Tamandua tetradactyla: one gene and its partner. The protein of the gene in region 2 purifies or fractionates together with the protein of the main gene of each other region. This does not show direct contact. Links are inferred from orthologs where the notes say so. Each region holds a gene or a part of one and is shown on either strand. Other genes may lie near its edges.

The links.
Region 1: the proteins of CDK5RAP2 (region 2) and PCNT purify together in Homo sapiens (co-immunoprecipitation; 4 studies listed by BioGRID and IntAct, with this or other methods). This does not show direct contact. The link is inferred for Tamandua tetradactyla from reciprocal best matches to the Homo sapiens genes CDK5RAP2 and PCNT.

Annotation. Positions count from the first base shown.
Region 1 is NC_135336.1:108,609,520-108,625,203, reverse strand, and holds the start of PCNT (pericentrin), read right to left. Parts: upstream 7,634-15,684; 5' UTR 7,508-7,633; coding exon 7,451-7,507; intron 4,847-7,450; coding exon 4,634-4,846; intron 1-4,633. UniProt on the Homo sapiens protein: Integral component of the filamentous matrix of the centrosome involved in the initial establishment of organized microtubule arrays in both mitosis and meiosis. Plays a role, together with DISC1, in the microtubule network formation.
Region 2 is NC_135328.1:36,965,283-36,981,568, forward strand, and holds the start of CDK5RAP2 (CDK5 regulatory subunit-associated protein 2), read left to right. Parts: upstream 1-10,017; 5' UTR 10,018-10,282; coding exon 10,283-10,338; coding exon of another isoform or gene 10,339-10,379; intron 10,380-10,477; exon of another isoform or gene 10,478-10,559; intron 10,560-14,192; coding exon 14,193-14,260; intron 14,261-16,286. UniProt on the Homo sapiens protein: Potential regulator of CDK5 activity via its interaction with CDK5R1. Negative regulator of centriole disengagement (licensing) which maintains centriole engagement and cohesion. Involved in regulation of mitotic spindle orientation.

The DNA of each region.
Region 1 (15,684 bases), on a different chromosome or scaffold from region 2:
ACCCATCCACTCCAACAGTCCCTCACCCCACACCAGTCTCTAAAATGATGAGTAAATCACTCCCCATTCACAGGAGACAAAGTTAGTTGTACAATTCAAAAGGTAAGCTACCATTTTCGTTTTCTTTTTTTAAAGGAAATAAAGAATAAAAAACATGAACTCAGAAGGTAACGCCTAGCCTTCAAACTTTACATTAAACATGATATTTCCTCTGAAATAGACAAGATATCAAACCTGCTGGGAGGAGGTGGGTTCAGCGTCTGAGCCACACGAGCATGAAGTTCCCACCTCCAAACCAAGTGTGTCAACAGCTTCTTGCTTGCTCAGAAGACTTTCCTCCAGTTCATTTATTCTAGCCTGTGCTTCGGAATGTCAAGTTGACTCTGATTTACAGGCAGATATGCCCTTGTGTCCTTTAAAAACACAAAGATAATTATTTCCTGGCCCTCTCAGAGCTCTGCAGTCCATCAGCCCATCAGCCCATCCCTGCCTTCCTGAGCCACAGCCAGGACATGGCCTCTCGGCGCTCCAGGTACAGATGCAGCCACAACACACCCTCCCCACGGACTCGCCCCCACCCACGTCTGCCAGGCCCTGCCACTTTAACCTCTCAGCCCACCTCCCTTATCTGTAAAGTGACTACTCATATTGACAGCTGTTTAAAGAATAAATAAGATAGTGACTCAAATAGTGGATGAATCCCAATCTCTGAACACGGCCAGTGCCCAATAAATGCGATGCCCTGGCCAAGACCTCTGGCCTCCCCTCTTCCCACAAGGCTGTGCTGTTCCTGGCCAGCACAGGACACACCGTTTTCCTGCCCATTTTCCCACTAGCTGTTCACTCTTGCAAGGACCATTTATCACCAAACCAAGAGGGAACGTGAGCAGTTCAGAATAAACTGCTTTTTTTTTTTTTTAATTTTTCAGAATAAACTGCTTTTTAAAAAGTCGGCCTTTTTGGAGCAAAGCAGAAAATAACTACAATTTAAAAAAGAAGAAACATTTAGAATGTTCTCTATCTTTCAATTAAAAAAAAAAAAGAGAGAGGGCAGGCCACGGTGGCTCAGCAGGTAAGAGTGCTTGCCTGCCATGCCCGAGGACCCGGGTTCGATTCCGGTGCCTGCCCATGTTAAAAGAGAGAGAGAGAAAAATTAGTATTTCTTTGACCTTATCACTGCCTGTCAAATATGGAAGAGGCACTAACATAGCCCATAGACTCTTTCTACCCCACTCCTTCACAAAATCCCACCTCCACGGGCCCTGGAGCCCTGGAGCCCTGGACTTCTTTGTTTTGTTTCACGCAGAAATCCGGGAAGACTCCAGGACTCCGACTCCTGATGAGCTCTCTCCAGGAGTGTATCTCATAACCTCCCCCAGCCTCTCAGATCAACTTTCAAAAGCTTCTCTCTAAACATAGCCTGCAGTTGACCTCACCTCCTTCCAGTTACGGCTGCTTTCCAAGTGCCCCTGACCTTGTCTCTCCCACTTTCCCTGATGACCTGACCTCTGCAGCAGGATCCCCAATACCCCCTACTCCTTCAGGCATTCTCTCAACCTCTCGCTGACCCAAATGTTCTCCAAGAGGACCCGCACAAACAAGTTATGAGAGAGTGAGAAATCTGGCCTCCACTATCCACCACCCATGTACGCAGGTACCCAAATTCCACACCACAAGTGCTGTGGCTTCAGACCTTGAGCCCAGAGCTCCACTGGCAGCAACTTCCTCAACCAGACGACAGTGCTTTGGTGCAACTCCTTTTTAGTCATACAGACTCCTCTCATTTCCAAACTTACCGAGATCACCATCTTTCCCTCCTAGCCCCTCAGTAGGCTGTTTCATACATTTCAGACATTCTTTTGTCATTCTGCATTCCATTCCGGGATCCCCCCAACCTCCAACATAGTCCTGCTTCATTTGCATACACTGAAGTCCACTCTCTGTGCTGTAAGGTCTAGGGGTTTTGACAAACGCATAATGCAATGCATCTATCACTGCACTATCAAACAGAATACCTGCACCATCCTAAAAAACCCCTCGAGCTCCACCTACTCAACTCTCCCTCTCCCTACAAACTCCTGGCAACCCTACAGTTTTGCCTTTTCCAGAATGTCATATACATGGAATCATACAGTGTACAGTCTGTCACTTAGCAACAGGCATTTAAGAGTCATCCATGCCTTTGCAGGGCTTGACGAGTCATTCCTTTTTACTGCTGAATACTATTCATTGTGGGACTATCACATAGTTTGCTTATCCAATTCATCAGCTGAGGGACATCTTGGTGGCTTCCAATGTTTAGTGGTTATGAATAAAGCTGTTATAAAAATAAAATTGCTAAACAAAAAAATACGTGCAGGTTTTTGCGTGGACCTAAATTTTCAAACTAATTGGGGAAATACCTAGGAGTGCAAATGATTTCGGGATTATATGATGACGCTATATTTAGCTTTGTAAGAATGTACTGAACTGTCTTCCAAAGTGGCCGAACCATTTTGCATTCCCACCAGCAATAAATGCCAGTTCCTACTGCTCCACATCCTTGCCAGCAATTGCTATGGTCGGTGTTTTGAATTTTAGCCATTCTAATAGGTATGTAGCGGTATCTCATTATTGTTTTAATCCGCATTTCCTTAATAACAAATGAGCCTGAGCATCTTTTCATGTGCTTATTTTCCATCTGTATAACTTCTTTGGTGAGACGTCTGCTGAGATTTTAATAGGACTGCTTTCTTACTGTTGAATTTTAAAATCTCTTTGTATATTCTGGAGGTAACTCTTTCATCAGATAAGTGTTTTGCAGATCTTTTCCCTCATGTGTCTTATCTTGCATCCCCTTAAAACAGTCTTTCGTAGACACTTAATTTTAATAATTCCAACTTAGCAATTTTTATTGAAGGTCATGCTTTTGGTGTTGTACATAAAAGCATATCACCAAACCCAAAGTCATGTAGATTTTCTCTTAAAAGTTTTAAAGTTCTGTTTTTACAATTAGGTCTAAAACCCATTTTTAGTTGCTTTTTGTATAAGGTGTAAGGTCTGTGTTTAGGTTCTCATTACTAGCTTTCAACTTTTGTCTTAATTTAATTAACATTTTTATTTACTCATTCTTAACATACAGACATATTAGTACATCCCCAGACTGGGGGATAACACTGAAATAAACATGGGATCCTGGGCCAGAAAAGGGGTATTAGTGGGACCACAGGCAAAATGTGAATAGGGTTTATCAATTAGTTCACAGCATCACGTCGATGTCAGCTTCCAGTTTCGACAATAATTATGATTATATAAGATATTCACACTTCAGGAAGCTGGGCAAAGAGTTTCCAGTACTATTTTTTGCAACTTTTCCTAAGTCTGACATTATTTCCAAACAAAAGCTAAAAATTATTAAATTTTTAACTTAAAAGAAAGAATATTTTCTGATTTGAAAGTAAAAACAAAAAAGTCACCTAATAAATATTAATTATCCACTCTGAGTTTTCTCCTCAAAAGCCCAGGTGGGAAACATGCAGCAGACAGCAGGCTGTGGACTCACTCGCCTTCTCTATCTAGCTCCCATCTTCCAGCTCTGACTGAGCCAGGGTCACCTCCCCCCTCATAGCAGCAATGCAAGGACGATGACAAACAGCAACCGACATTCAACTTGAGAGCTTCAGGGACAACAAAGACCTGTGCCCAAAGGGTCCGACACCAAGGCACTCTGGCCAGCTGCTCCTCTGGGGAACATGACAGCACTGTAAGAAGGTCTTCCAGTTGGAAAAGAAGCAGAAATTTCAGATTTGTAGGAATTTACCTCACAGCAATAATTCCGTTTTTTTTAAATAAGAAGACCAGACCCATCATGCTTTGAGACAAATTTTGCCCTTGGCCACCATTTTTCCACTTAGTCTAGCAAACACCTAACCTTACACTGCCCTGTTGCGCACCAGCCAGGGACACTCACGATTCAAGGTCCTTCATTTATGATCCACCCAAGAAGCAGCCCTAAGAAAAGCCAGTCCTAAGGGAAGATAGTAGGCCCAGGGAGGCCAGCAGGCCTGGCGTTCTCAAGCCCTCAAGGCCACAGCCCACTCACCTTAGCTCAGGTCACACCTGTGCAGGTACAGCAAGCAGCATCCCCATCCTCCCCACCCCACGCCACAGTTCACAAGACCTCACAAGGCCTCCAGCAGCAGATGGCAGCACCTCCTCCAACAGCACACGGTTTCTGCAGCACCTGTCACCCCCACCCTTCTCGTTTCATGTTCAAAAGAAGGTAAAGGACAAAGGACAACAAATAAGGTGGATCTGACAGCAGGGTGAACAAGCGTCATGTGTTAAGCTTCAAAAAAATACATGCCAGTATGGCCGATGTTCACAACCTCACATGAAGAACTCCCACTTGGAAAACATCTGCTCCCAAAGAAGACACTGAAACTTGTCTTCAAACAGGCCAATCCAAGAGCTCTCAAAATCTCTATCAATGATAAAACCTTTATTAGAAGTAAAACCATAAGAATTTACTCACCTTTTGTGAAATAAAATAAAACCTCTTTCTCCATTTTGAAAAGCAAAAAGACTACTAGTGAACTGTGCCAGTTCATCCCAGAAGATAAACAATGTTAAGACCCAAGGCTGAGTCACTTACCTGAGCCGCAAATGCCCCTTCCGCCCTGCCAGGCGTGTTACTGCACGATGCACTTTTCCAAACGTCTCCTCCTCCAGGGAGCCCACGGTCCTCAGCAGCTAGCGGATTCTCCTCCTGGACAGGCGCATCGACAACCGTGCCCTTCCTCTTCGCCGTCTTTTTCTTCGAATGCGTACAGTCACCTTTTGTTTTTCTCTGTCGGAAGTGAGCAAGCTGCGCAAAAACGTGGAGAAATAGTAAAGGCAAAGGTAAATGAGAAAAAAGTAACAGAACCACAAAGTCAACAGACTCGTGGGAAACATGAGGCTCCAGAGCTGGCCCCGTGCACTCAGCCACACCTGGCCAGACTCACGCCAACCAACAGACCACTTTCCCACAAGCACTGCTTTCACTACTCTCTATAATGCTAGGACTTAACTTCAGAGGGCTCTCCAAAGAGTCTAACGATGAGGACGTTAGTTGTGCCTCTACAGACAAAGGAAAGCAATACTGCTGATTGGCAGAATAGCTTTTCTAGCCTTTGCCAGTTTACAGAAAGATAAATTTTTTTAAATATATCCAATTAGACTGATAACGTAATCAAGGCACACTTTAAGTTTAAAATTACATAAAAGATAAATCTCTCCTTTTTGCCTCCATTTCCCCCTAGCCAAAACTTCCTAGCCATAGATTCTGAGACAAGGTACAGAAATAGCAAAAAATTAATTAAGCCAGGTCACTCTAACATCTTCCTTTGTGGAATCAGATGTTCTATTTTTCATGACACAGCTCACCAAAGCACCAGGGACCTCCACAGAATGTCGCCCAAGATACAACTTAGTACTATTCGGTTTCTCAAATCCGAGGGTTTTAGACTATGTTCACACATTAATTCCCACTACACCTTATTTAAAAGGTATGAAATCGAACATCAGCTTTTCACAGGAAGACTTCTCCCCCAAATGATAACCATGGCCATAAAGACATCTGATAAAAAAGATGCTCTAAATGATTTACTAAAAGTGCACAATTTCAATGACACAGGAAAATTACATAAGGCCATTTACATGAGAATACTATACTCTTAAGGACAGAGACTACCTTTAAAACCAACCCCATTTTCATTCATTTTATTTTCCTCCACCATCAAATATAACCATGTGGGACAAAGTGGGGCATGTCTGTCATCATCTTGTTTCTTCCTGAAATGATGCTAATCTTCCACCATCATCACTGCTTCTCAAAGCACATTTACTTCATTAATCAACTGCAAGCACAGGGAATGACATAAGTAAACATGAAGCTCTGTGTTCATTTTCATTTCCTAGCCCTTGTATGTGCCAGACACATCCAAGAGGAGAGAAAAAAAGGATGCCATAGAATCCCTTTTCACACCCCAGCCAAAACTCTCACTGTCAGGGGAAGCTGAACAGATGGCAGCACCCTACCCTCTGCCTGTCCCCATCATACACACCGCATTATCCCTGCTGTGGCCTCACACACTTGTTGGTAAGCCTTCTGAATACCTTCTTTATTGTGGTTTCCTCAAAGACCTACTTAGCCCAGAGGATCTATTATTAGATAATCCCTAAGAAATCACCAATATTTGGCTGTCTGACCTCAAACACAATTCCTCTGGTTCTGGGACTCAGCTCGCCCAGTGCTGAGCATTCTTCCCACCGCAGGGCGGGTCCTGGCCTGGGCCCCGTAGCCTCAGGCGGTGGGAGGGGCAGGGATGAACATGCAAACGTCTCAAGTCAGGGTCACCGAGACAGCACGACTCAATCCCCACAATATGCCACAACAAGACTACACAACTATGAGATGCTACTGCGGGCCCCTGATTGTACATCATGTATGGATTGTATGTGTGTGAAGGTTTGTCAATCAAATTTTTTAAAAAACAGGCAGAAAGGAGACGACAGAAGTATCCTCTGGACAAGCCTGACTCTAGCACTACACTGGGTTCAGTGGAGCCTCAACAATCCTGGAACTTAAAAACAACTCAGGGCCGTCCAGGAGAACCCCAGCACAGCCCGGCCTCTCTCCTCCACCCTCACCTGCCCAGCCGCTCCTCCTGCGCCCCAAGGAGAGCCCGGGAGAGGCCCGCAGCTAGATCACGAGGGATCTAGGATCGCTTCTATTAGTTCAGAACTGGGAGGGGCACGAGCCCGCGACGGCGGCCTCCGGGGAAGGGGCGGGAAGCCCAGCGCCTCGGCAAGCACGTGCACGCGCGGCACGCTGACCGCCAGACCGGCCTCGGCAGGCACGTGCACGAGCACGCGCGGCGCGCTGGCCGCGGCCACCTCCCTTCTGCGCTCCCGCCCACACGCGGCGCTGCTGCGCAGGCGCCAACTTTTCCTTGGACGCGCTCGCAAGCGGGCTTCGCAGCGAATCTCGAAAAGAGGCTCAAGTGCCTCGTTTCCGGGGCGGGAGGAAGGTGACTTCGCGGAGTTGACCCCCACCGCGGAGCCGACCCCTAGCCCGGAGCCGCGCTCCCTGGCTTTCCCCGCTCCCCGGTCCCCGGTCCCGAGGTCCTCTACGCAGGCGCAGCACACTGAGCCCCAGCGTTCCCCGCGCCAGCCTCCCCGCGAGCCGCCGTGCGTCCCCGGGCCCTGATTGGCTACGGGAGTAGCGGGGGCGGTCCCGGGCAGAGGGCGGCGTATTCCAGATGGCGGCGGCCAGGAGGCGTCTTCCAGCCGAGCCGGCGGAAAGAGCAAGACTTCGGCGGCGGCCTCGCGTGACCGGCACCCGCTCCTGGCAGGGGCAGAGGCAGGCACTGGAGCCCGCTCTAAGGACTTCGGGCGAGAGGAGGAGGAGGAGGGCCCTGCCATTTACCTTTGCTCTCCCGGCCTCCACCTTCCTCCGCCGCTGCTCTTGGTCATCTTCTTCCATCTCCCCGTGGGGCTTGTCGCGAGCCGCCCGGGAAACAGCGGGGCCGAGGCGGCGCTGGTTTCGCTCTGTTTACACTCCCTCCCCCTCGTCCGGGCTCGCCCTCCCCCCGCGACAACTGTCACGCAGCCGTCAGCCCGCCCCGACGCCCGGCCTCGCCCCTGGCGCACGCGCCTTTTCTGCCAATCAAGAACCGCGTTCTTGCGCACGCGCGCTTGGCCTCCCCGGCGCGCTCCCCGGACAGGACCAATGAGCGAAGGACAGAGGCTTCGGGCTTGGCTCGGGTTGGTCGGTTTCAAATGGCCTTGGCCACTCCTGGCGGAATCCGGAGCGAGCGGTGCAGCTGGGGCGGTACGGCCTGGACGAGGCGAGCGGGCCCCCGGGTGCGTAGGCCCTAGGGACTTGCCGCCCTCTAGTCCTGGACCTGCTCGGGCCTGCATTTCCCGCCCCCCCCCCAGGCCTCCCCTAGGTTCTTCTCCTGTTCGCGCCCCTCTGCCCTCGCTCTGCCTCAGTTTCCTTCTTGGCCCCTGGATACTGACTGCGGACAGAGGGCCGAGGCTGTGGTCATCTCAGCTCACACTGCATCCCCGTGCCGGCAGGCGGTGGCGCAGGGCAGAGTTTGAGAAATAGTCGTACGATGAACCTAACTGAACTCAGGTAGCTGAAGGGTTAGGGTAGAGCGCCCAGGCAGAATCAGGGCGAGAGAAAATTCCGGAGATCACGGCCTGTGCAAAGGAGGGGAGAAAGGGGTGGACAGAGGGAGACTTCAAAGTGAGGCAGGCGGGACAAGGCCTTCACCAACCCCTTAAAGGCAACGTGCCTGGTCCTAGGTGCCCCAACTTCGGCCAAAATTGCCAGGCCTTTAACCCCTGCCTGATAATAAGCGATTAGAGGTGGGCTGCCCCGGAAAGTTGAGCAGTCAACCAATAGTTGACAGCTGGAGACACCTGCTGACCGCATTGCCCACTTCTGGGCAGCAGGCCTTGGGCTGAAGGGCTTTTTTTTTTTTTTTTTTTTTTATTAATATGCTGCAACTTTATTTTTCATACTTAACATGATTTCTGCAGTAACAGCTTTCCTTTCCTTATCCTCCAAGTTTTAAAAATTAGCTTACACTTGTTTTATATGCTTTAGCTTTTTCTTTTTAATTAGAAATGAAACTTTAAATGTAAAGCCAAACGTTCTGTTCAATCACCACCCCTAGTCTCTTCTCTCCTCTCCGTAGAGGGAATCACTGCAAAGACTTTGGCACATACAGTTTCAAATTATTTTTTGTTATTTATTACATACACATATGAATCCATAATCAATGTACAGCATTAGCCTTTGTTTTACTCAAACTTAGAAAAAATGTAGCATAGTATATGCATCATTTTGTGTCTTGAGTTTTTTCACTCAGATGCTTGCAATGTTTTCTTGCTAATATATACATTATTTAACTGTTCTATAATTTTCTGTTGTGCAAATACGACACCCTTTATCTACTCAATTCCTTACTAGTGGCTACTCCATTCCTTTCCTACAAATGTATGGCCATGTTTCTTGACAACATATTCTATTCCACGTAACTATTACATCAACATGAAACAATTTTAATAATTATAGCATTATGTAGGGTATCATATTACACGGTACAAACATGGTAACTTTGTCTCTTCCTTTCTAATTTGTATACCACTTCTTTCACTTTACTGCACTAGTTAGAATCTCCACTCATGACCATGTTTAGCAGCAGAGGTATAGCAGGAGTCGTACTTGCTTCTTAATGAGAAGGCTTTTAAAAGTCCAACAATAGCATATACTATGAGTTTGTGTAGGACAAGTCAGAATTTTATTAATCCTTTCTCCTTATGAAAATTCTTAGATATTAAGTACTGGTCTTCTTTTTAAGGCTTTCCGACATTCATGGTATTTTGTTTTAGAATGACTTTTCTAATGGGCTATGAATCTGAAGGCCTTCTTTATTCTAGGAATTCACAGCACTTTTAATGAGTATGAATTCTCTGATGTCTAATATGGTGTGACTTCTGGCTAAAAGCTTTTCCACACACACTACACTGATAAGGCTTCTCACCCGTATGGATTCTTGCATGTGAAGCAAGAGTTGAGAACTGAGAAAAGGCTTTTCCACAATCATCACAACCATAAGGCTTCTCACCTGTATGACTTCTAATATGTACAGTAAGAGATGAACTTTGAGAGAATGCTTTCCCACATATATTACACTCATAAGGTTTATCACCTGTATGAATTCTCACATGTACAATTAGTGATGTGATTTGAGAAAAGGCTTTCCCACATTTATTACATTCGTAGGGTTTCTCTCCAGTATGAATGTTGTTTAATGAGATACTGCCTCTGGCTGAAGGCTGTTCCACATTCATTGCATTTATAAGGTTTCTCTTCAGTATGAATTTTCTCATGCTCGGTGAGATTAGATTTGTCACTGAAGGCTTTCCCACATTTCTTACATATAAAGGGTTTCTCTCCAGTATGTCTTCTCTGGTGTGTAGTGAGGCTTGATTTCTGAATGAAAGCTTTCCCACATCCATCACATTCATAAGGTTTCTCTCCAGTATGGATTCTATGATGGGTAATCAAGTTTTCCTTCTGGTTAAAGGCTTTTCCACATTCACTGCATATATAAGGTTTTTCTCCAGTATGTATGCTCCAATGTTTAATAAGACATTGTTTTTGGCTGAAGACTTTCCCACATTCTTTACATTCATATTCTTTCTCTCCATTGTGAGTTTTCTCATGTTCTGTGAGATGTGATTTATGACTGAAAGTTTTTTCACATTCCTTACATGCATAAGGTTTCTTTCTAGTATGAAATCTCTTGTGTCTGAGATTTGGCATTTGAATTAAAGCTTTCCCACAAGTATATGATTTCTCTAATGAATACAGAGGTTTTCCATCTGGTTTAAAGCTTTCCCACATTACATTTATATGCTGTTGCCCTGTACGGCTTTTCAAATGTGAAGTAAAAGATGACTACAAAGAGATGTACTACATCCAGGACACTCATATATCATTTCTCTCTAGTATGAATTTTCTCATGCTCCATGAGATTTTGCTTCAGATAAACATATTCCCAGGATCATTACAATACTAATTAATGTATGAATATTCTCATGCTTAATGTGATTTCATGCTGGCTGTAGTATTTCCAATATTGCTTATACAAAGGGTTTTTTTTTTAATAAAGTTTATTGAACACACATGTGAGAAGACATGTAGCACTCTAGCAAGGAAAGATGGAAGGTAAGAAGCCTACACACAGGGTTTTATTCCTTCATGATTTCTCTGATGTGTAACTTTCCCACATTCATTAAATCCAAATGGTTTCTCTCAAGTATTAATTCTTAGGCATCTCCTGAGGTTGAATTTCCAAAAGAAGACTTTGATACTCATTACACTTAAGGGGGATGACTACCATGTGGGACAAACTATGGCAAAACTCACTGTCTTCATTCTTTCTTCCATCGTACTTAGTTAAGCATGAAACAAATTCTTTCAAGTGAAGTCACATTCAGAGAGGTGTTATTTTGAGGAAACAATGTCTGTAGTGTATTTTCCCAACTTTCTCTCCCTCCATCTTAAGGCCTGTGCTGTCATGAAAGTAGACGTAACTTCACTCATAAGCCTTTTGTTATGCTGTTCTTTTTGCTTCTTACTGTCTTAGGTGTCAAATAAAAACTGAGGGACTTTGTCACAAGGAGATCTATCTGTCTTGAAAGAAATGTTAAAAGAAGTTCTTCAGAGAGTGAAAAATTATCCAGGCCAGAAACTCAGATCTACATGAAGAATGGAAGAGTGTTAGAAAAGATGAAATGTCTAAAATCAATAATCTTCCATCTTCCAACTTAGGAAACTTGACAATATCTCCTTTACATTTGTTCCATCATTCATGCTCTCCTTGCTTCAACTGAGGATCACATCCCGTTTAGTGATTTCACAACCAGTAAGTGGGGAAATGGTATCACACCTGAATGTTATGCTGGGGACAAAGCAACACCCCATAAATCAAACCTGAAACCTTCAGGCTTCTGAAGAAGAAAATGTAGATTCCAAAGATGCACAAGTTAACTGGCTGATATTTTTGTTGCTGTTGATTGTTTTAATGATCCAAAGCCTATTCCATTGCTCCCAACATTGGTGTGAATTATCCTCCCAAGGAAACTTGGCCTCCTTTTCCTAAACCTGCCCGGCACTTAGGGTTAGTGAACCCGATGCAGGAAAGAAAACCATTTCAAAGGCCTCGGGCTAGTCTACTTTGGGAGTCACGGCCCGAGACTGAGCTGGGACTTCATGAGGCTTCCCGAGCACTGCTGGATGAGGGAGAATAATCTTTTTGGTGTGACCGCTACTAATCGCTGATACGACCCAAACCTCCGGGAGCCATTTTGTCCGCTTCTGCTGGCTCTCCTACGTTTCACCTTGAAGGGCCTTTTGAATAGCACATCTCTTTGTCCACTTCTCAGGTTCCCTTTTCTTGGGGGAAATTTTTTTTGAGGGAGGACTTCAAAAAGGAAGGTTACTGAGGTGAACAACAGTCTCCGCCACTGCAGCTCGTCCTGGAGCTGCAGTAAATTTGGTTTCACACCCCACGTACATTCTAGATTCCCCTTACCCTCGGCTAGAAACCTCTGGTGGCTTATCTGGTGGCTTAGCAGGTAGTGGGACCCAAGCCATCATCCCAGAGGCGTCTGATCCCTGGTCGCCCACCATGCCCTTCTTAGGCTAGGGGTGCTGTATGTGTTCATTTCCCATTCACCACTAGGCGAGGTACTCTCAGGAGACAGCTAGCATTATTTAGAGTTCAGTTGTGTTCTTTCCCTGCCCCTGTTCATCTTCTCTCTCCTGCTGATCCCTGGAGATGATCCCAAATGCCCGGGGCAGACAGAGTTACTAGTTCAGTGGGAATCTTGAAACCCAGACGTCCAGCCCTACAGAGCCCAGGGTTGCACGGACAGGAAGCACAAAGTCCCCCAGTGGGCCACGTGGGGGGGGGGGGTCGCTCTTGGACGCATGTGTTCTTCCTGTTGGGGACAGGGTGTCATATAGGAGTCTCTGTTTTAAAGCATTTACTCCAGTCCTGTGGCTGTGCTGTAAAGCAGTGCCTCAACTGATGTGTCATGAGGGATCCCATGCTAGTAGATCCACCACTCTAAGCTCCCAGAGAAGAGGGCAGGCTGAGACTCTGCAGGCAGGAAAGGCAAGCTCATACTTGGAATATGTGTCTGTTCCGGTTAAAGTGAACGCCGGGACCCCCAAGATGAAAGACTGACATCACAGGTTTGGTTGGTCTCCAAGGATGCAGCCAGGTAGGCAACTAAACACCCTTCTCGTTTGGAGGCAGCAGTAGCTATATCAGGTTTGGTGGGCTCCCAACCTCCATCTCTGCCACATGGACACAAGGCCCCACTGCAGTGGCTGATGGGCAAGGCAGGTGGCATCAACTGGTCTTCGTTGTTCCTTGTGTTTGTTGGTGGATGGTCTGTTGGGCATTCAGATGATGCGGGATTACCACTTCAGAATATCTGTGTATGTCTCCAACCCAGACCTCCTTGTATCCACTTCTCACATATTCCAGAATACTGACCATCCAACCAGGCCACTCACCACTCCAAAACAATCTGCAGAAGCCAACAGCTGGAGACATCAGCTGACCACACTCCCGCCTCTGGGCAGCAAGTCCTTCCTTGAAAGAGGGGACACATCCTGGTGTCTGTACCATGGGATGGGCATGAGAGAAACCTGTTCCGGTGTCTGGGAGCATAGGGAAGGGAAAAGTGGGTTTAAAGGGTATACGTTGTTTTCAGCATGACATTGGGCAATGAGTGTGTGAATCACTAACTGGTTGCTAAAACAGGAAACAGGTTGCCCTGCATTGCCACCTGAAGGGTAGACAGGGTCACTCTTTTCGATGCATATAACAATATGGGAGGTAAATGAAACTTCGCTTTTAATGATCATGCTTCCTAGATGCTCATTCTCAAGAGTGTTCATCGAGAACTGGCCCCTCAAATTTTCTAGAACTTGGTCACCCTGGCACAGAAAGGCTAGTCCTTTGGGCTCAATTCTGCAGATGTGCTGTGCTTGGAGGGACAGCTGTGGCCAGCAAAATAATGGCCCCCAACTACGTCCTTATCCCCAGGTCTGTGAAGACAGTACCTCAAACGGCAAAAGAGACTGCAAATGGGATTAGGTGAAGGATTTTAAGATCCTGGATCATACAGGTGGCTGGGTGAGATCACAAGGGGTCCTGTGGCAGGGGGGCAGGAGTACGTGCAGCCTTGAAGGTGGAGGAAGGGGCCACAAGCCAAGGAGCCTCCAGGAACTGGAAAAGGCAATGCGACGTTTCTCCTCTAGAGCCCCCAAAGGGGCACAACTCTGCCGACACCTTGAGTTTAACCTACTGAGACTCATTTCTGACTTCTGCTGCCCAGAACAGAAGACAGTAAATTTGTGTTGTTTTGAACCACTTAATCTGTGGTAATTTGTTATGGTAGCTACAGAAAACTCATACTAGAGATTCCCCTTTTGCCTTCCTCCTCCACGAGTAGGCTAGGGGTTGGCATGGTGGATACGGGAGGCATGACACCCGCCGCTGCACCCCCAGACTGCCAGAGCTTCCTGCAGCCTTCCCCCCCCCCCCCCCAACAGCCAGCCTCTTCCTCCTTGGCCAGCAGGGCCTCGAGGGCAGGGAAGGGGGCCGGACAAGAGAGGTCGGTGGTTGAACAGAAGGAAAACAAGACAAGCAGGGAGGGGTTCCGCTGGTGGAACAAGGCAGAGCCCCCTGCACCCCACCTCCTCTCCTGCACATGCCGCCGTCCCCCGCGGCCCGCAGGGGCTGCGCCCATCTCGTGGCTCCTGTTCGTCACCCTCCCCCCACGGCTGCCCCACACGTCATGTGCACGTTCCTCGCCTTGACAATTTTATCCCGCCTTGACTATTTTATCCCCGCCACCGTGGGGCAGAGCCCCTTGCGGTCCTTACTTTCAAATGAGGAAACTGAGGCACAGAGCCTAGCTACCTCGCCTGGAGGCCGCGGCGGTGGGGGCCGGGTCCCTCCGCATCAGCTGTGGTGGGGGGTCCGGAGAGGACGGGCGAGCAGGACCCTGCACCGCCCGCTGGGGGCGAGCCGGCCGCGGGGTCCCGGGCAGCAGGGCCCAGCCGGACCTCCCCAAGCCCGGCGCTCGGCCACGGACCGCGCAACTGCTGCCCCCGCCAACCCGCTTTCCAGTCCCGCCCCGCGGCGGCTCTGAGGACTCCGGGCCCGCCCTGGCTGTCCCGCCCCGGCTTCCCGTGGCTGCAGCGCTCCATCCCAGGGGGTCCCCGCGGGGGGGCAGGGCGGGACGCGCTCGTCTCCCCGGCGCTGCCCGAAGTCCGCTGGGGCCGACGGCCAAGGGGCCCTGCTGCGCGGAGGGAAAGGCTGCCTGCCTCGGCCCAGCACGTGCGGGGGCAAAGGAACAGGGGACCTGTCCCGCCGCCCCCACGCCCCGTCCCCCCACGCACCGCCGCCCCTCCTCCTACCCTCTCCCCCTCCCACCCCTCGCCACCTCCCCCTACCCATCCCGCCGCGCTCTGCCCTGGGCCTCCTCGCGCCTTGTCCGCCTCCACCGCTCTCCTGGCCCCCAGCAATCCTATCCTCCCCTTTCCCTCACCCCCGCACACGCACGTGCACACACACGCGGAAAGCGGAAGCACGCAGTCAGCCAGTGCCCCAGAAGGGTGCGGAGCACTGGAGAGAGGATGGCTGCTCAGGAGGGAAGAGAGGGGACGGGGGCAGCCGGCTGCGCGTACCTCGTGTCTACACCGCGTCTCCCCGTGTCTGCCCTACGTCTACACCGCGTCTCCCCGCTTCTGTGCCTGCGTCGGGACCGGCCTCCCCGCAGTCAAGGGTGCCCGGCTTGCCTTGCCACTGGCTTTCGCTCCCCTTCAGGACGTGCATCTCTGGGGCGGGTGGGGTTCCCCACATATGCAGACTTGGGCCTGCCAGAGACCCAACTGCGGGGCCTGCGCTGCACCCGCGTGGGCACCCACGCAATCTACGCACCCCGAGGCGCCGCCCCCGTCCGCCTGTAGCGGAGCCTCCTAGGGCCCCGCGGCGCCCGACCCCCTTCCCCGCAGCCTCAAGCCTCCAGCCCCTCTTTCCCCGGCCCCTGCCTCGATCG
Region 2 (16,286 bases):
CAAATATCTCCCATTGAGTTGGCTACCTCTTCACCTTTTTGACAAAGTCCTTTTAAGGCACAGAAGCTTTTGATTAGTCTATTTTTCCTTTCACTGCTGGTGCTTTAGGTATAAAGTTTATGAAACTACCTCCTTCTCTTAGACCTTGTACATGTTTCCCCACATTTTCTTCTAGAAGTTTTATGGTACTGACTCTTACATTTAGGTCTTTAATCTATTTTTAATTAATTTTTGTATAGGGTGTAAGATAGGGGTCCTCTTTCATTCTTTTGGCTATTGAAATCCATTCTCCCATGCCCATTTATTGAAAAGACTATTTTGTCCCAGTTCAGTGGATTTGGGGGCCTTTTCAAAGATCAATTGTCTATAGATTTGGTGGTCTATCTCTGCACTCCTGATTCAATTTCATTGGTTGATCCTTCTATGTTTGTGACAGTACCATGCTGTTTTGACCACTGTGGCTTTATAGTAAGCTTTACAGTCAGAGAGTGGTAGTCCTCCCACTTTGCTCTTCTTTTTTAGGATATCTTTAGCTATTCATTGTCTCTTTCCCTCCCAAATAAACTTTAAAGCTAGCTTTTCCAAGTCTTCAAAGTAGGTTGTTGAGATTTTTATTATTATTGTATTGAATTTGTAGATCAATTTTTGTAGAATTGACATCTTCACCACATTCAACATTCCTATCCATGAGCAGGAAATGTCTTTCCATCTATTTAGGTCATTTTAAAAAACACTTTTTAGCAATGTTTTTTAGTTTTCTGTGCACAAGTTCTTGGTTAGGCTTATTCCTAGATACCTGATTCTTTTGGTTGCTATTTTGAATGGAATTTTTTCGTTAACTGTCACCTCAGATAGGTCATTGCTTGTAGATAGAAACATTATTGATTTTTGTACATTAATCTTTTATGATGCCATTTTGCTGAATATTTATTAGTTCAATTAGCTTTGTTATAGATTTCTCAGAGTTTTCCATGTATAGGATCATGTCATCTGCAAATAATGAAAGTTTTACATCTTCCTTTCCTATTTGAATGCATTTTATTTCTTTCTCCTGTTTAATCATTCCAGCTAGGACTTCTAATACAATGTGGAATAACAGTGGTGACAATGGGCATCCTTGTCTTGTTCCCAATCTTAGGGGGGATGCTTTCAGTTTCTCATCATTAGGTATGATACTGGCAATGGGTTTTTCATATATGCCTTTTATGATATTGAGAACATTTCCTTTGATTTCTAATTGTTGAAGTGTTTTAATAAGGAAAGGATGCTGAATTTTGTCCAATGCTTTTTAAGCATCAAGTGATATTATCATGTGATTTTCCCTTTTTGATTTGTTAACATGTGTATTATGTTGACTGATTTTCTTGTATTGAACCACCCTTGCATTCCTGATATAAATCCTACCTGGTTGTAATGTATAATTCTTTTGGTGACATTGGATTCGATTTGCTAGTATTTTGTTGAGAATTTTTTCATCCTATGTTTATTAGGGAGATTAGTCTGCAGTTTTCCTTTCTTGTAGTGTTTTTATCCAGTTTTGGTATTGGAGTGATGTTAACCTCATACAATGAGTTAGGTAGCATTCCTTTTTCCTCAATTATTTGGAAGAGTTTTTTTTTTTTTTTCCTATACGCCTTACCAGTCCCTTTCATTGTTCCCTGGTATTTCAGTCTACTCAATTTATTTTGAAGAGTTTGAGCAGGATTGTTGTTAGTTCTTTTTGGAATGTTTGATAAAATTCCCCTGTGAAGTTGTCTGGTCCTGGGCTTTTCTTTGTGGGAAGATTTCTGATGACTGGTTTAATATCTTTACTTGTAAATAGTGTGCTGAGATCTTCTATTTCTTCTTAAGTTAGTATAGGTAGTTTGTTGTTTCTAAGAATTTGTCAATTTCATCTAAGTTGTCTAGCTTGTTGTTCATAGTTTTTTTCTATGATTTAAAAAATTTCTTCATGATCCATGGTAACAACCCCCTTTCATTTCTGATTTTGTTTGTTTGCATCCTCTCTCTTTTTTTCTTTGTTTGTTTAGCTAGGGATCCATCAATTTTATTGATTTCTCAAAAGACCAACATTTTGTTTTGAGGATTCTTTTTGTTTTATTGCTCTCCAGTTTGTTTATTTCTGCTTTAATCTTTGCTATTTATCTTATTTTATTTACTTTAGGGTTAGTTTGCTGTTCTTTCTTTAAATTCTTAGGTCAGCAGTTAAGTCATTTATTTTTGCTCATTTTTGTTTTAAACATAGGCACTTAGGGCAATACATTTCTCTCTCATCAGTGCCTTTGCCACATCCCATAAATTCTGATATGTTGTATTCTTATTATTATTTGTCTTCAGATATTTACTGATTTCTCTAGTTTCTCCTTTGACCCATTGATTATTTAACAGTGTGCTGTTTAATCTCCAAATATTTGTGAAAGCTCTGTTTCTTTGTTGATAATTAATTTCCAACTTCAGCCTGTTGTGGACAGGGAAAGTCCTTTGGATAATTTCAATCTTATTAAATTTACAAAGACTCAGTTTGTGTCCCAGTATATGATCTATCCTGGAAAATATTCCATGTGTACTAGAGAATAATGTATATACTCGTGTTTTGGGGTATAATGATCTATATATGTCTATTAGGCCTAATTCATTTATCACATTGTTTAGGTTTTCTATTTCCTTGTTGATCCTCTCTCCGGTAGTTGTATCTATAGTGAAGTGTGGTGTATTGATGTCTCCAACTATTATTGTTGAAATGTCTAAAGCTCCCTTCAGTTTTGCCACTGTTTGCCTCATGTACTTTGGAGCTTGTTGATTGGGAGTATAAACATTTGTGATTGTTATTTCCTCTTGATGGATTGACCTTTTTAAAACATGTAGTGTCCTTCTTTGTTTCTTATGATATCTTTACATTTAAAGTCTATTTTATCTGATATCAGTATAGTGTTTTGGCTTACTAATGCTGCCAGAGTGCAATTTACGAGAGGTGGAATGGCTCTTATAAAGGGAATTCATTAAGTTGCAAGTTTACATATCTAAGGCCATAAAAATTGTCCAAACTTAGGCATCCGGAGAAAGACACCTTGACTCAAGAAAGGCTGATGGGTGCGGAATACCTGTGTCAACTGGGAAGGTGCATGGCTGGCATCTGCTGGTTCTTTGGTTTCTGGTTTCAAACAGCTTACCAGGGGGCTTTCTTCCAGCATCTCCAAAGGTCTGGATCTCCTGTTAGCTTTGTCAGCTGTAAACTCTCTCCAAAATATTTCTCCTTTGAAAGGACTCCAGTAAACTAATCACAATGCACCTTAAATGAGCAGAGTCACACTTCCATCTAATCAAAAGGTCACATCTGCAATTGAGTGGATTATATCTCTGTGGAAACAATCTAATCAAAAAGTTCCACCCTAAACAATACTGAATGAGGATTAAGAGAACATGACTTTTCTGGGGGTACATAACATTCTCAAACCAGCACATAAAGCTACTCGTGCTTTCTTTTGGCTACAGCTTGCGTAGAACATCTTTTTCCATCCTTTCACTTTCAATCTAATTGTCACCCTGGGTCTAAGATGCTTCTCTTGTAAAGAGCATATAGATGGATTATATTTTTAATCCATTCTGCTAATCTTTATCTTTTAATTGGTGAGTTTAGTTCATTAACATTCAAAGTTATTACTGTAAAAGCAGTTCTTGAATCTACCATCTACCATCCTATCCTTTAGTTTTTATTTGTCAGATATATATGTATATATTCTTTTCCCTCTCTCTCTTTTTAACCTTTAAATTAACATTGCTGGTTTTCTTCAATTCTGTGCCCTCCTCCAGATCTCCCTCTCCTGTTTTGTTTTTGTTTTTTTCCAGCGGACAGGACTTCCTTTAGCATTTCTTATAGGCCAGGTCTCTTGTTGACTAGTTTTCTGTCTTTGTTTGTCTTTGAAGATTTTAATCTCTCCCACAAGAGAGATTCCGCCTTCTTGCTTCCATGGTTTCTGTTGAATAGTTTGAACTCAGTCTTATGTGTTTTCCCTTGTATTTAGTAGATAGCTTTTCTCATGCTGCTTTCAGGAATTAGTTTCTCTTCAACATTTGACAGTTTGATTAGTATGTGTCTTGGAATGAGTCTATTTGAATATATTTTATTTGGAGTTCATTGGGCCTCTTTTATTTGTGTATTTATGTTTTTTATAAGAATTGGGAAGTTTTCCCTGATTATATCTTCAACTAACTTTGCCAGCCAGTGCTTTACTTGTCTCTTCTTCTGGGATACAAATGATTGTTGTATTGGTGTGCCTCTTGTTGTCCATTTCCCTAAGACCCAGCTCTATTTTTTTCCATCTTTCTTGCCATTTGTTCTTTTGTGCACTCTAGTTCAATTGTTTTGTCTTCTAGCACACTTACTCTTCCTTCTTCTTTGAATCTGCTATCGTTTGTCTCTAGTATATTTCTGATTTGGTCTACTGTATCTTTCATCTCTGTGAGATCTGCCATTTTTCTATTTAATCTTTTGAATTCTTCTTTATGCTCTTGTAGTGTCTTCCTGATATCCTTTATTTATTTATAAATATTCTTTTCAATATTCTGTGTTCCCTCTGGAGTTTTTGTCATTGGGCTAGGCTACTTCTGTTTGGATCATCATGTGTGTTCTAGTTTGCTAGCTGTCGGAATGCAATATACTAGAAATGGAATCTTTTAAAAAGGGGAATTTAATAAGCTGCAAATTTACAGATCTGAGGCCATGAAAATGTCCCAATTAAAGCAAGCCTATTAAAATGTCATAAGGTACCAACAAGAGATTACTTTCACTCAAGAAAGGCCAGTGAAATTCAGGGTTTCTCTCTCAACTGGAAAAGCACATGCAAACATGGCAATGTCTGCTAGCTTTCTCTCCAGGCTTCTTGTTTTATGAAGCTCCCCAGGGGCATATATCTTCTTCATCTCTAAAAATTTCTGGCTGTGTGGACTCTGGTAGTTCTCATGGCTCTCATGGATCTTGGTGCCTTTCTCACGGCTCTAAAAAAGGTACTCTCTCCAAAATGCTTCCTCCTCTAATGGATTCCAGTAAACTAATCAAGACATACCTGGAATGGGTGGAGTCACAACTCCATGGAAGCCAACTAATCAAAAGCTGATATCCACAATTGGGTGAGTCAGTTCTCTGTGGAGATAATCTAATCAAGTTTCCAACCTATAGTACTGAATAAGGATGAAAAGAAACAGCTGCTTCCATAAGATGGATCAGGATTAAAACATGGCTTTTCTAGGGTACATAATCCTTTCTAATCAGCACAATATGCTTTTTCATTTTATGTTGTGTTTGGGGCATTTGATTATCTTAGTAAGGTTATTTTTCAATCGGTTTCCTCCATTCATCTAAAGTTTTGCATTTTTTTGATTTTGCATTGAAGGTTTGCATTTATTTGGTTTTGCATTGAAGGTTTCCTTTTGTGCTTGTTTTGTCAGCAAGTCCAGGCCAAACCTTTCTTTGGCCTCAGTTTTGTCAACTGTAAAATCAATTATGTAAAAAATAAACAGTCTCTGATTCATAAGGTGACTGTGAGGATTGACTGTAAAGTACTTAACACACTACCTAGCACATAGTAAGAGACTAATACATGACAGTAAGAGACTAATACATTGTAGTGAATATCAGTTATTCATGGAATATCAGAGCTTAAGGAAATATTAATGTTGTACCTCAATGATCTCAGTTTACAGATGAGAAAGTAGACCCCAAAAGTTGAATAAGAGGTCTAAGATCACTGAGAAAACAGTGGGAACTATTTGGAAAATAGTCTGTAATAAGGACTGCTGATGGTGAGAGTTGGCTGGGAAGAGTTCTTGATACCAAGACTGCAGGTTAGTGTTCCTGCACAGCAGGATTTGGATACTCAGAATCTTCTGATTGAGTGGCCCAGAGGGTTCAAGAAACTAGGCCAGTGTCAGTCGTTGGCAGCATGGTACGGCAGAACTACTGCTGACCTTGGGACCAGAGAGACTTGGGTATGAATCTTGTCATAACCTTTAATTAGAAGTGTGGCCTAGCCAAATCTGGGACAATTTGCATAACAAAATAAATAACGATAGTAATGGAGTACAATCCATTGACTAAAATAAATATCCACGAGGAGTCCATGCTGATTTAAGTAAATAATTGAATGAATTTCTTATGTATAATTCTGATTAATAAATATAGAAATAATGTTGAAGGAATGATGAAAACAGAAAATCGCCATTTGACAAACACCACAGTATTGATTGTTTCAGGCAAGAATCATCAATGGATGCTAAAATTTGTGGGTGAAATTATGATGAAAAACAAGTGTTTACATGGGCCTCAAAGTATCCCCCACAAAATTCTTATTACAAAGGGAACATAGTAATTTTACATAGAGAAATGTGGCAGACACTCCTTGGCCAAGAGATCACACACAATATCACTAATTAATGAGATATTAACATCATGTACCTCCTGATATGATGCCCTAAGAAGGGCATGACATCACTTTCATGGAATTCTCACAAAAAGTATATAAACCTGCATGTAATCATGAGAAAACATCAAACAAACCCAAATAACTGGCAAGTTTTTCAATGGGATTGACATTATGAAGGAAAAAGAGATGGAAGAGACTAAGGAGATGTGACAATGTATTGACAATGGAGGCCCTGGGTTGGAAAAAGAGCATTAATGGAAAAATTGATGAAATTTAAATAAGGTCTGTAGATTAGAAAATCTATCAACATAATTTACTCTTTTTGACAATTATGCTTTGGTTAGTTATGATTTTAACATTTGGGGATGCTGAGTGAAGATTATATGGGGAATTCCTTTTTTCTAAGTCTGAAATTATTTCTAAGTAGGAAAAAAAACCAAACCAAAATAATTGTGGGTTTGGTCAAATCATTTCCCTTCTCTGAACTTTAGTTTCCTCATCTCTAGAACATGGAAATCATTCCAATCGATTTCATGGTTTCATGAGGATAAAATGAAACAGTGCAAAGTGCCAACATGCATGTATTTATCCTGCAAAAAGTTATCGTTGTTTTTAGAAATGGCACTTCATGTGTGTTGAGCTGTGTTCTCTATCCTAATGAGAAACATCTGGCTCCAAGCTACTGGCTTTAGCCATTTGATGTGACGTTGCCCAGGGAAATAAAAATGCCAGCTTTTGTGGTTGGGTGGCTGTTGTCAAGGAGATGGCTCCAGATAGTACAAACAGTTGGTGGTGACATCATCTTTAAGCTTGACTGAAAGGTCATGGTGAGACCTCTCTCTCCCTGACCATGAAACCACTAAATAGCAGGAAAAACAACTTTCTAAATAGTCTATCCTTTGTGCAAATTATTCTATTTTCAGTTTTCAGGGTCATTAAAGGGCTTAGTACATAGTGCAGGAGTACGGTCATTTGTTGAATAGGGCAATGGATTAATCATAATAACTCACAAGCTCTTTTTCTTGATAGTTATCAATGTATCTAATTAGATAATGTATCCATGTGAGCTTGGCATTGTCCTCCCCATTTTACACATAGGAAAACAAAAGCTCCAGCCAGGGAAAGGGACCTCAGCTCACAGATATGTTGGAGGAGTTTCCAGATAGAGAAATCAGGTGTACGGACTTGTAATACACCTGTACAGGATGTACAATCCTGTAATCATACTGCTGATACTAAGATTGATTTCTTAGCTACCTTGAAGCTACTAAAGGTAGAGTCCCATGAATGCAGCACTGAAATACTCTTGTCTGGATATAGACTTCACCTCTTAGACCCAAATTCAAAAGTGGAGAAAAACAAATAGGGAAGACAGGTTGCATCTATACTTAGGGCATTGGAGGTCAGCGACTTGGGCTTAAATTCAGGTTTTTCACTTATACCAACCAGCAATGGGACCTTCAGTAAATTATTTTTACCTCTTTGAGCCTCAGTTTTCTCATCATTCTGTAAATAAAAGGAAATATTAGTAGTACCTATTCCAGAGACTTGTTGTGAGGGTTAAATGACGGTTATATGCCTGGTGACACATAAGAGATACTCAAAAATAAGTAAGCTATCTTCTTGCTTCCTTTCTTAAGAGCTTTCAACAATTGAACTGAATTGTTCTTTCATAGGGAAGTGATGATTTGTTCTCTTAGCCTCTCTCACCAAAAAAATAATTGGTTTTGTGTTAGTAGCTTTGAAATAAAAACAGAGAAATCATCTCCAAAACTGCGAGAGCCTGAAAGGTCCATCCAGTCCAACCCTTTCATTTTACAGATGTAGAAACTAAGTCTCAGAGATAAGAGGTGGTCTGCCAAATATCACAGAGAGTTGGTAACAAAACCAGTGTGGCTATTCTGACATTCCAGTTTCCTTGCTTTGGATGCACTTTTTTATCTTCTGGCCTTAGCACTTGCAAAGAGTTTTGGTTCTAAGCTTCAAGGACTGCCCCCTATCTGGGGCAGGACACTGGGTGTGTCAACTGGCTCTTGCCCTCCCTCCCTTTTAGATCGATCCTGGGGTGCTTGAAGAACTGGGAAAGGAAAAGGGACAGACGTTGGCTTATGGGCCTCACTAAAGCTGAGGGAGGGAGAGAGGAGGAATGGAGAGAGAGAGAGAGAGAGAGAGAGAGAGAGAGAGAGAGAGAGAGAGAGAGAGAGAGAGAGAGAGAGAGAGAGAGAGAGAGAGAGAGAGAGAGAGAGAGAGAGAGAGAGAATAAACATGCAATTACCACTGACTGACTTCTTAAAGGTATCTCAGGTGGTCACAAAAACCTTGCAGGATAGATATTAGCCCCATTTTCCAGATTGAGTGATTGAATCATTCATTCACCTACCATTTTTAAAAACACATACTGGGTAGCAGGCCCAATATATGCTATATGTAGTGAATATAGCAGTGAACAATTCAAACACAGTCTCTACCCTCATGGAGCTTTCAGTCTAATGCAACAGAAAGATTGAAATGCACACACACACATATAAATACATAATTGCAAAATCTGGTAGATGCTACCAAGGCAAAACAAGAGGTGCTAAGAACAAGAAATGGACCTTATTTATACTGGAGGATCAGGGAAGGCCTCTTTTAGAACATGGCATTTAAATCGAAGAATGATGAAACTAAGGCCAAGAGGGGGCTTATTTATGGATATAGGGAAAGTCATCACCTACCAACTCACCCATTTTTTCAAGTTGTTTTCATCCACTACTCTTCCCAACAACCTGCAGAGGAAGGTGGTAGCACTGAGATAGGGAGAGGAACGTTGATTTCACTGATCAGGTTTCGTCAAAATTATCTAGGCGTTTAGTGGTAGATGTGTGCTTAAATAGAGACAGTCAATGTTATGGAGAGAGCCATGAACCAGTTGGCAGCGGCCGCATATCCGGCCTAGGTCGACAGACTTAACTGTGTATGTCTTTGGGAAAGCCATTCTCTCCCTCTGGGCCTCAGTTTACTGATTTTAGGTGCTGAGCCCTAAAGATAATAAAGGATCACTAGGTGAGAGATTGGAGTGGGAGTGTCGCTGAGCACTTCTTGGTTCATAGAGATAAACTTATTTACTTCAAACCAATTACGCAAATTAGGACTTGAGTTGGGATTCCACATTTAGGATTCTTCCAAAGCAAGGCAGCACCCGATTATATGAGTTTAAAATTAAGGCGAAAGGACTGGCAACCGTGGCTAAGTGGCAGAGTTCTCGCCTGCCATGCCGGAGACTCGAATTGGATTCCGGATCCTGCGCATGCAAAAAAGAAAAAAAAAATTAAGGCGAAAGCCTTTGGACGTGGAGCCATCATTCTGTAAAGGGAAACACAGTTTAAAAACTCTGTGGGTCCGTGAGAGACAGGATCCCACTTCCCGCTTAAATTAACGACCGGGACGGTTATGCGCCCTCAACAAAGATGGCGCCTGCCCTGACTTCGGCCTAAGTGCCCTCACCAAAAAAAAAAAAAAAAGAGCCGTCGGAACCCTCTTTTTTTTTTTAGTCCTCCTAGGGTGCGGATGACCTACCCTTAGTAAAGATGGCGCCAGCCTGAGCTTCCCTGCCCGGTCTGTAGCTTTGGCCGGTCGGCTTCATCTCGCGCGTTTCGGGGACCCCGCCTCGTTTCCGTAGGAAGAAGCGCGGGGAAAGATGGCGGCTGCTGCGGTTTGAATTCCAGCGGCGCCCCTAGAGTTCGAACGAGAGCTGGGTTGGAGGGGGCGGGGACCCGGGAAACCCGGCGGGTCGCTCCAGCGTGGGGAGTGTGGGGGTGGGGGCGGGAACCAGTGGCGCCGCTACCACAGTCACTAACGCCACCACCGCATTTGTGCCCATAATGAACTCGGCGTTGGAGGAGAACGTCACCCTCCCCGGGACGCTGAGCGGCTGCAGGTGCGGCCCGGGCTCCAGGATTCGCCTTGAGGAATCTTTGGGTTTGCTCTTGTGTGTGCGTGTGAGCGTCTCCTGACAGGGTAGTGTGTCGGGTGGGTTGCCTGCGGGGTGAGGGTGGGGCTGTTCTTAGGGAGCTCACCTTCTGAAACTGTGGGGATTCCTGGGGGACCCGATCTGCAACACACCCGCTTCTGATATTTCCAGACGTACTTTGAGGAGGGTGTGAAGGACGGGTAAGTGGTTTTCTGAAAGAGCGGGACAAGGGGGCCTCTTGGAGTGTGCCATAAGTGGAGGCTCCGTGGGGGATATGGCGTCTTAAGTAGGGCCTTTGAAGAGATTTTATGGTTCATTCAGGGTTGGGGATTTGCTTTCTTTATGGGAAGTGTAGTCCATATGTCCAGACTTTGTTCATAGGACTATGGAGACTGAGGCGATGGAGTGCAGTGGTTAAGGTATTGGCTGGAGTCAGACAGAATTGGATTCAAATTCAGCCTTGTAAACTGTCCATCAGTAGAGGAGTGGGAAAATAATCGTTGTTTAAAAAGTGTCTTTCTGACTATTTGTGTTCCATTAGTGGTCATGAAATTCAGTTTAGTAGGTTGTAGCCAGAGGTTAAAAAAAATCGAGTAGAACAATAGAAATAGTTCAAGAATTAAGGGTAATATATTTTCTTCTAAGGGTTGTGGTCAGTAAAGTTTGAAAAACAGTGCTGTAGAATGCTTTGTGGGAGTTAAAAATATTGAGGTAAATTCATTTGTACTGACATGTAAACATCTCTAGGACACCGTGTGTGAAGAAGATGTAAAATGATATGTGCAGTATGATGGCATTTATGTTTTTTTTAAATCACAGAATAAAACTATTTCTCTAAGTGTGTAAATACACAGAAGAAGGCTTGGAAGAATGAATATGCTGACAACAGTACTTGCGTCTTAAGATAGGGGTGAGGAGTAGTTAGGGTGAACTTTAAGTTTAGGTGAACTTTAGGTTTATCTGTATTTTTTGACTTATAATTATGTATTATTGCTCTGATTAAGAGAAGGGAACAGAAAGGAAAGTGAATTGTTGAACTACAAACAGAAGTACACTTAGTGTAATTGTAAGTCTGAATGTAATGTCCAGTCCCGTCCAAGAGCTGTCAGGACACTTTAAAAATGAAACAGCTCTCCTTGGGTCTTGTGTGAATGAACAGTTGTTGCCACTTAAGCACAGAAAGAGATAACTCCTTTTGGGTGCCATTAGAGTGAGATCGGAGAAGGGGATGGTGCAGCTCAGGCAAGGGTTCATTTTTTCCCTCAACGAATATACAACAAATAGCTGCCTTTGTAGCTGTGCATTGTGCTAAGTGCTTTAAGTCCTCTGCCTACTTCATGCTGTCTTCACCACAACCCAGTTGAAAATGTTAGGGTTGCCAGAGTAGTGAGCATGGTGTTTGAAATCAAGCTGGTTTGGGATTTTTAGCTTATTAAATTGAGGGACCTGTTTGCTTGTTTAAAAAAAAAAAGTGGCAGCATTTAAAAAATACCACTTACTTCAGAAGGGCTGTGGTAAGGATTAAATGGGAGGTTGTCTCATCCTGAGCGTGGTTGCCTGTACTGGAGTGCTCCGTTCTGGTTAGGTTTTTGTGATCATTATACTTTATTTTGCCCACGAGGAAACTTACCCTACTGCATGCCATATCCATTTAGGAGCTTTGGGTGGTCTAGGCACAGGGTCAGCGAGTGGAAAGGGTGCTGAGAGACTGGGATTTTGGCCTCATTTTTGCCACTAACCCTTGAGGTTCTTTCTCCTCCCTGGACCTCCGCTCCCAATGCGTACAATGATAAAATCGTATCTAAGTTTTCTTCCTTTGTTTTCATTATTTTGGTTTCTAGTAAAAATCCTTCAGGCCCCAACCTTAGTTATCAGGCTTAGAGAACCTCACAAGGGACAGAGGAACTGCTCCTGGCTGGAGGTGTTAATTGGAACCAGCTGGAGGATGCAGAGGTCAGAGATTCATAACATTTTTAAAGTTGGTAGCCTAACTTTAAGTGGAAATTTGGCAGGAACCAAACAGGAACTTGTTCATTACATGGTGGGTTTCTTCTAAGAATTGGGATATCAGATGTTATTTTTCAGACTTTAATGTTTGCCTTTGGGTAGCTTGCCTAAGATCAAATTGTTTGACTTTGCCTGTTAGGTAGTTTTCAGCTGTGATTGATCTTGGCTTGGGCATATAGAGACCAGACTCCAGCCTATGCTTGGCCAATAACCTTGGGCCTTTGGTCCACCATCTGTAAAAGGTGGTAGTGGAACTTGATCTTTTTTTTTTTTTTCACGGGCAGGCAGCGGAAATCGAACCTGGGTCTTTAGCATGGCAGGCGAGAACTCTACCTGCTGAGCCACCATGGCCTGCCTTTGATCTTAATTTTTAAAATTTGTTTTGGAAAATGGACTTTATCCCTCTAGTGATGCTTACTGCAGAAAATTGAGACTTACAGAAAATTAAAAAGAAGAAAAACATCTGTGATTTTCGCACAGATGATTATTTTTAATATTTCAGTACATTTCCTTTGTCTTGCTGTGTATTTATAGTTTACCTGATACCAAACAGGATTTGAAGGCATGTTCTGCTTTATAGCAGGCACGTTTTATCTACTCGTTGTCCTGATATTGAACTTTTATGGTATTTCCAGTTATTTGCTTGGTCTGGTCTTGAAAGTCTATTCCAATGCTAGAATTTGGTGGTCAGGCACAATTTTCCCCAAAACAGATTGAATTCAGATTTAGAGGCATATAAAGAACAGACTGCCAAGAAGTCAAGCTGAACTTCCATAAACTTCTAATTTACAACTGGGACAGTGGACAAATTGTTGGGGGTTAGATGTGAAGGGCCTGGATTGTGAACTTGGTTCTATCCTTAACTACCATGTGATTCTGGCTAAGCCTTTGCACTTTCCTTTGAAAAATGTGTGGGTCCTCAGGGAATTGGGTAATTCCAGTGATGTCATTTATAAATTATAAAGCACTATATGTTTTAAGGTGACAGTGATATTGCTCCCATTTATGGTGTTCCCGCAGTATGGCAAGAACTTTATTGGGCGCTGTGTATCTTATTTAATTCCCAATTTCTCTGAAGTGGCTGCTGTTCTCCTTTGACAGATGAAGGAAGTGAGGCTTGGAGAGGTATGTGGCAGAGCTTAGATTAGAATCCAAGGTAGTGTCTTTTGTGTTAAGTCATACCTCCTATTATGGTTCCATTTTCTGCCAATGTCTCCAAGTCCTCACTGAACTTATTTATATAATCCAACCAGTACAGCTTCTTGGATCAGTGAATTCTGCATTTTTCTTTAACATTCTTAAAGTATGTGGATTGGTACCTGATTCCCAGAACTGTTGGTAATGATAAGCATATTAATAATGATAATAATGACAGAAATGACAAGAGGTGCATGTATTGGGTACTTACTATACGCCAAGTGCTTATATGCATTAACTCATTTAATCTTTACAGATAGAGGGTGGTATCCCCATGTAACACAATAACAGAGAGTCAGAAACATAAGTAACTTGTACCTGGCACAGTGCCTTTGCACTTAACACATATTTGGCACACTGAACATTTGATGTTCAATAAATGAATGACCTTGCTGAAGGCCACCCAGCTACTGAATGGTAGAGCTAGAACTTAGTTCCAAAGTTAGAACACAGCTCCAAGCCTAAGTTCTTAACCTCTGTGCTGCATGCTTCCCGGGTAGTTTAGCTGTGTCTCCCTCATTGGTGGTGGCCTGATGATTGTCAGGTGCAGTCCAGTCAATCTTAATCTCTCTTGTTCAAATGCTAGCTCATGTCTTATTGCACATGTTCTTTCCTAGTGGCCTTGTTCCCAATTTACCATATGACCTGGATGGTATCAGCTCCAGTACTGGTTTGGGAAATGATGGTAAGTACACAAAGCTGGCATTCTATTGAGTAGAAAGAAAGGAAGTAGACACTAGACCATGAGCTCCTTGAGGCCTGAGACTGGTCTCTCTTATCTTTGAGGACAAACAAGAGTCCAGTCTTGCCTGGCACATAATAGGTGCTCAGTATTTTGTGTACATATTTATTTGCTCTCCACTTCCTTTCATGAACTCTGCACTGGAGGAATTCATGTCCTCTAGGCAGTAATCATAAGTTTTATTTCTTGCTACTGAGCTTCTAGGGATTCAGCCAGTATTTCCTGAACTGAACAACTGCAAGTAGGCTGGACACTGAATTGGTGGCTAGGTCAGGCATGAAGGTTCTGTTCGTTTCCAATGCCAAGTGCCTGGAAGCCCAGAAGGTTTGCCTTTTTCTGGAGTGCCAGGGCCTTTCAGCCGGTGGCTGGATTCTATTTGCTGGCTGAGGCCTAGCATTCCTACCTGGGCTTGCCCTTTGGAGACAAATAGCTGGCTAGATCCCAGGAGACAGTGCTGAGTAAATAAACAATATTGTGCTTAAGCTAGATTATGAGGAGATTTTCTGCTTTGCAGTTTGGGTTTTGATAAGTATTCTTCATAATTTTTGTTCTGAAAAAAATGAATGTTATCATAAATGGTTCTATGGAAAGAGCTAATGCTTTGCCTTGTTTAAATATCTTACACTTATTTTGTCATGTGTTTTCTTTTTCTCTTCTACAAAATGATGAGCTATGTGCAAAAGGAAGAAGTTTTTGAACAGAGTGAATAAATGTCACAAAGTTTATTACTTTAAACACAAAATCCAACGAGCCTGTTTTCTACTCTTCCTGCCTACAGGCAGTTAGAAGCAGAAAATTAAGGTAGAGAAGTACTCCTTGATTCAACCAATAGTGTACGCCTGCTTTATGCCAGTCTCTGAGCTTAGTACTGGAGATTAGCCTTGACCATGGTTATGGTCTAGCAGAAAAGACAAACAAATTATTCTGATGAGTGATATGATCAACATAGTGAGCAAAGAAGTATAAGGCCCTGAGAGGGGATCAGAAGGAGATTTACCCTGGTATGAAGGAAGTGGGTCAGGCAAGAATTTTCTTTGGAACTGATATTGAAGCTGTGACTTAAAGAATGAGTAGGACCTAGATAGGGAGAAAGGTGACAGAACACGGCATGTTTGAGAAACAGGAAAACAAACATGAGTACCCTTTACCTGGGTCAGAGAGCTCTTCAGTTTGTCTTTTCCCAACTCCTAAGCCTTTTCCATGCATGCACTACATACGAAAGTTTCTGAATGCCATGTGTACTGCCACTTCTGTGCTTTTGCATGAGTTGTTTCTACTTTCTTTTGTGCCCCTCTTCTCCCCAGTGCACGCTTGTTGCTTTAAGACTCAATTCAAACTTACTGCCTTCTTTGGCTCTCCCCAGGTTGACTTAGATTTGTTTTCCTGTCTGAACCTTATATATTTCATTTCGTTTTGTTTCATTTTATCTCATCTCGTCATCTCATCTCAGTCTCCTCTGATTTCTCTTCTCATCTTTCCTCTCTCCTCTGATTTTTCCTCTTATCTCCTGTCATCTCAACTCTTCTCTCATCTCTCACCTCACTTCTCCTCACCTCATTTCTCACCTCATCTCTTCTCTCACCTCTCCTCTCACCTCATTTCTCTTCTCTTTTTTCATTTCTCATCTCTCATTTCATTTCTTTCTTCCTATTTGCTACCACTTCTCATCTACACTGCTTCCTCTATGGTCCAAGCACCATTATCTCTGACCTGGATGGATTATTCCAGTAGTCTCCTAACTGCGTCTGTCCTCAGCTCTGTACAGTTTGTTTTCCCATGACAGCCGAGGGAGCCTTTAGAAACTTAAGTCAGATCATGTCACTCCTTAGTTCAGAATCCTCCAGTAGTTCCTCACAGACCATAGAAGAGCTTACAAGGGCACGCATAGTCTGTCTCCTGTTACCTCTCTGACCTCCTTTTTACTCTTTCCTTTGTTTAACTTTTCTCAGGCCATTGCCTCCTAGCTGTT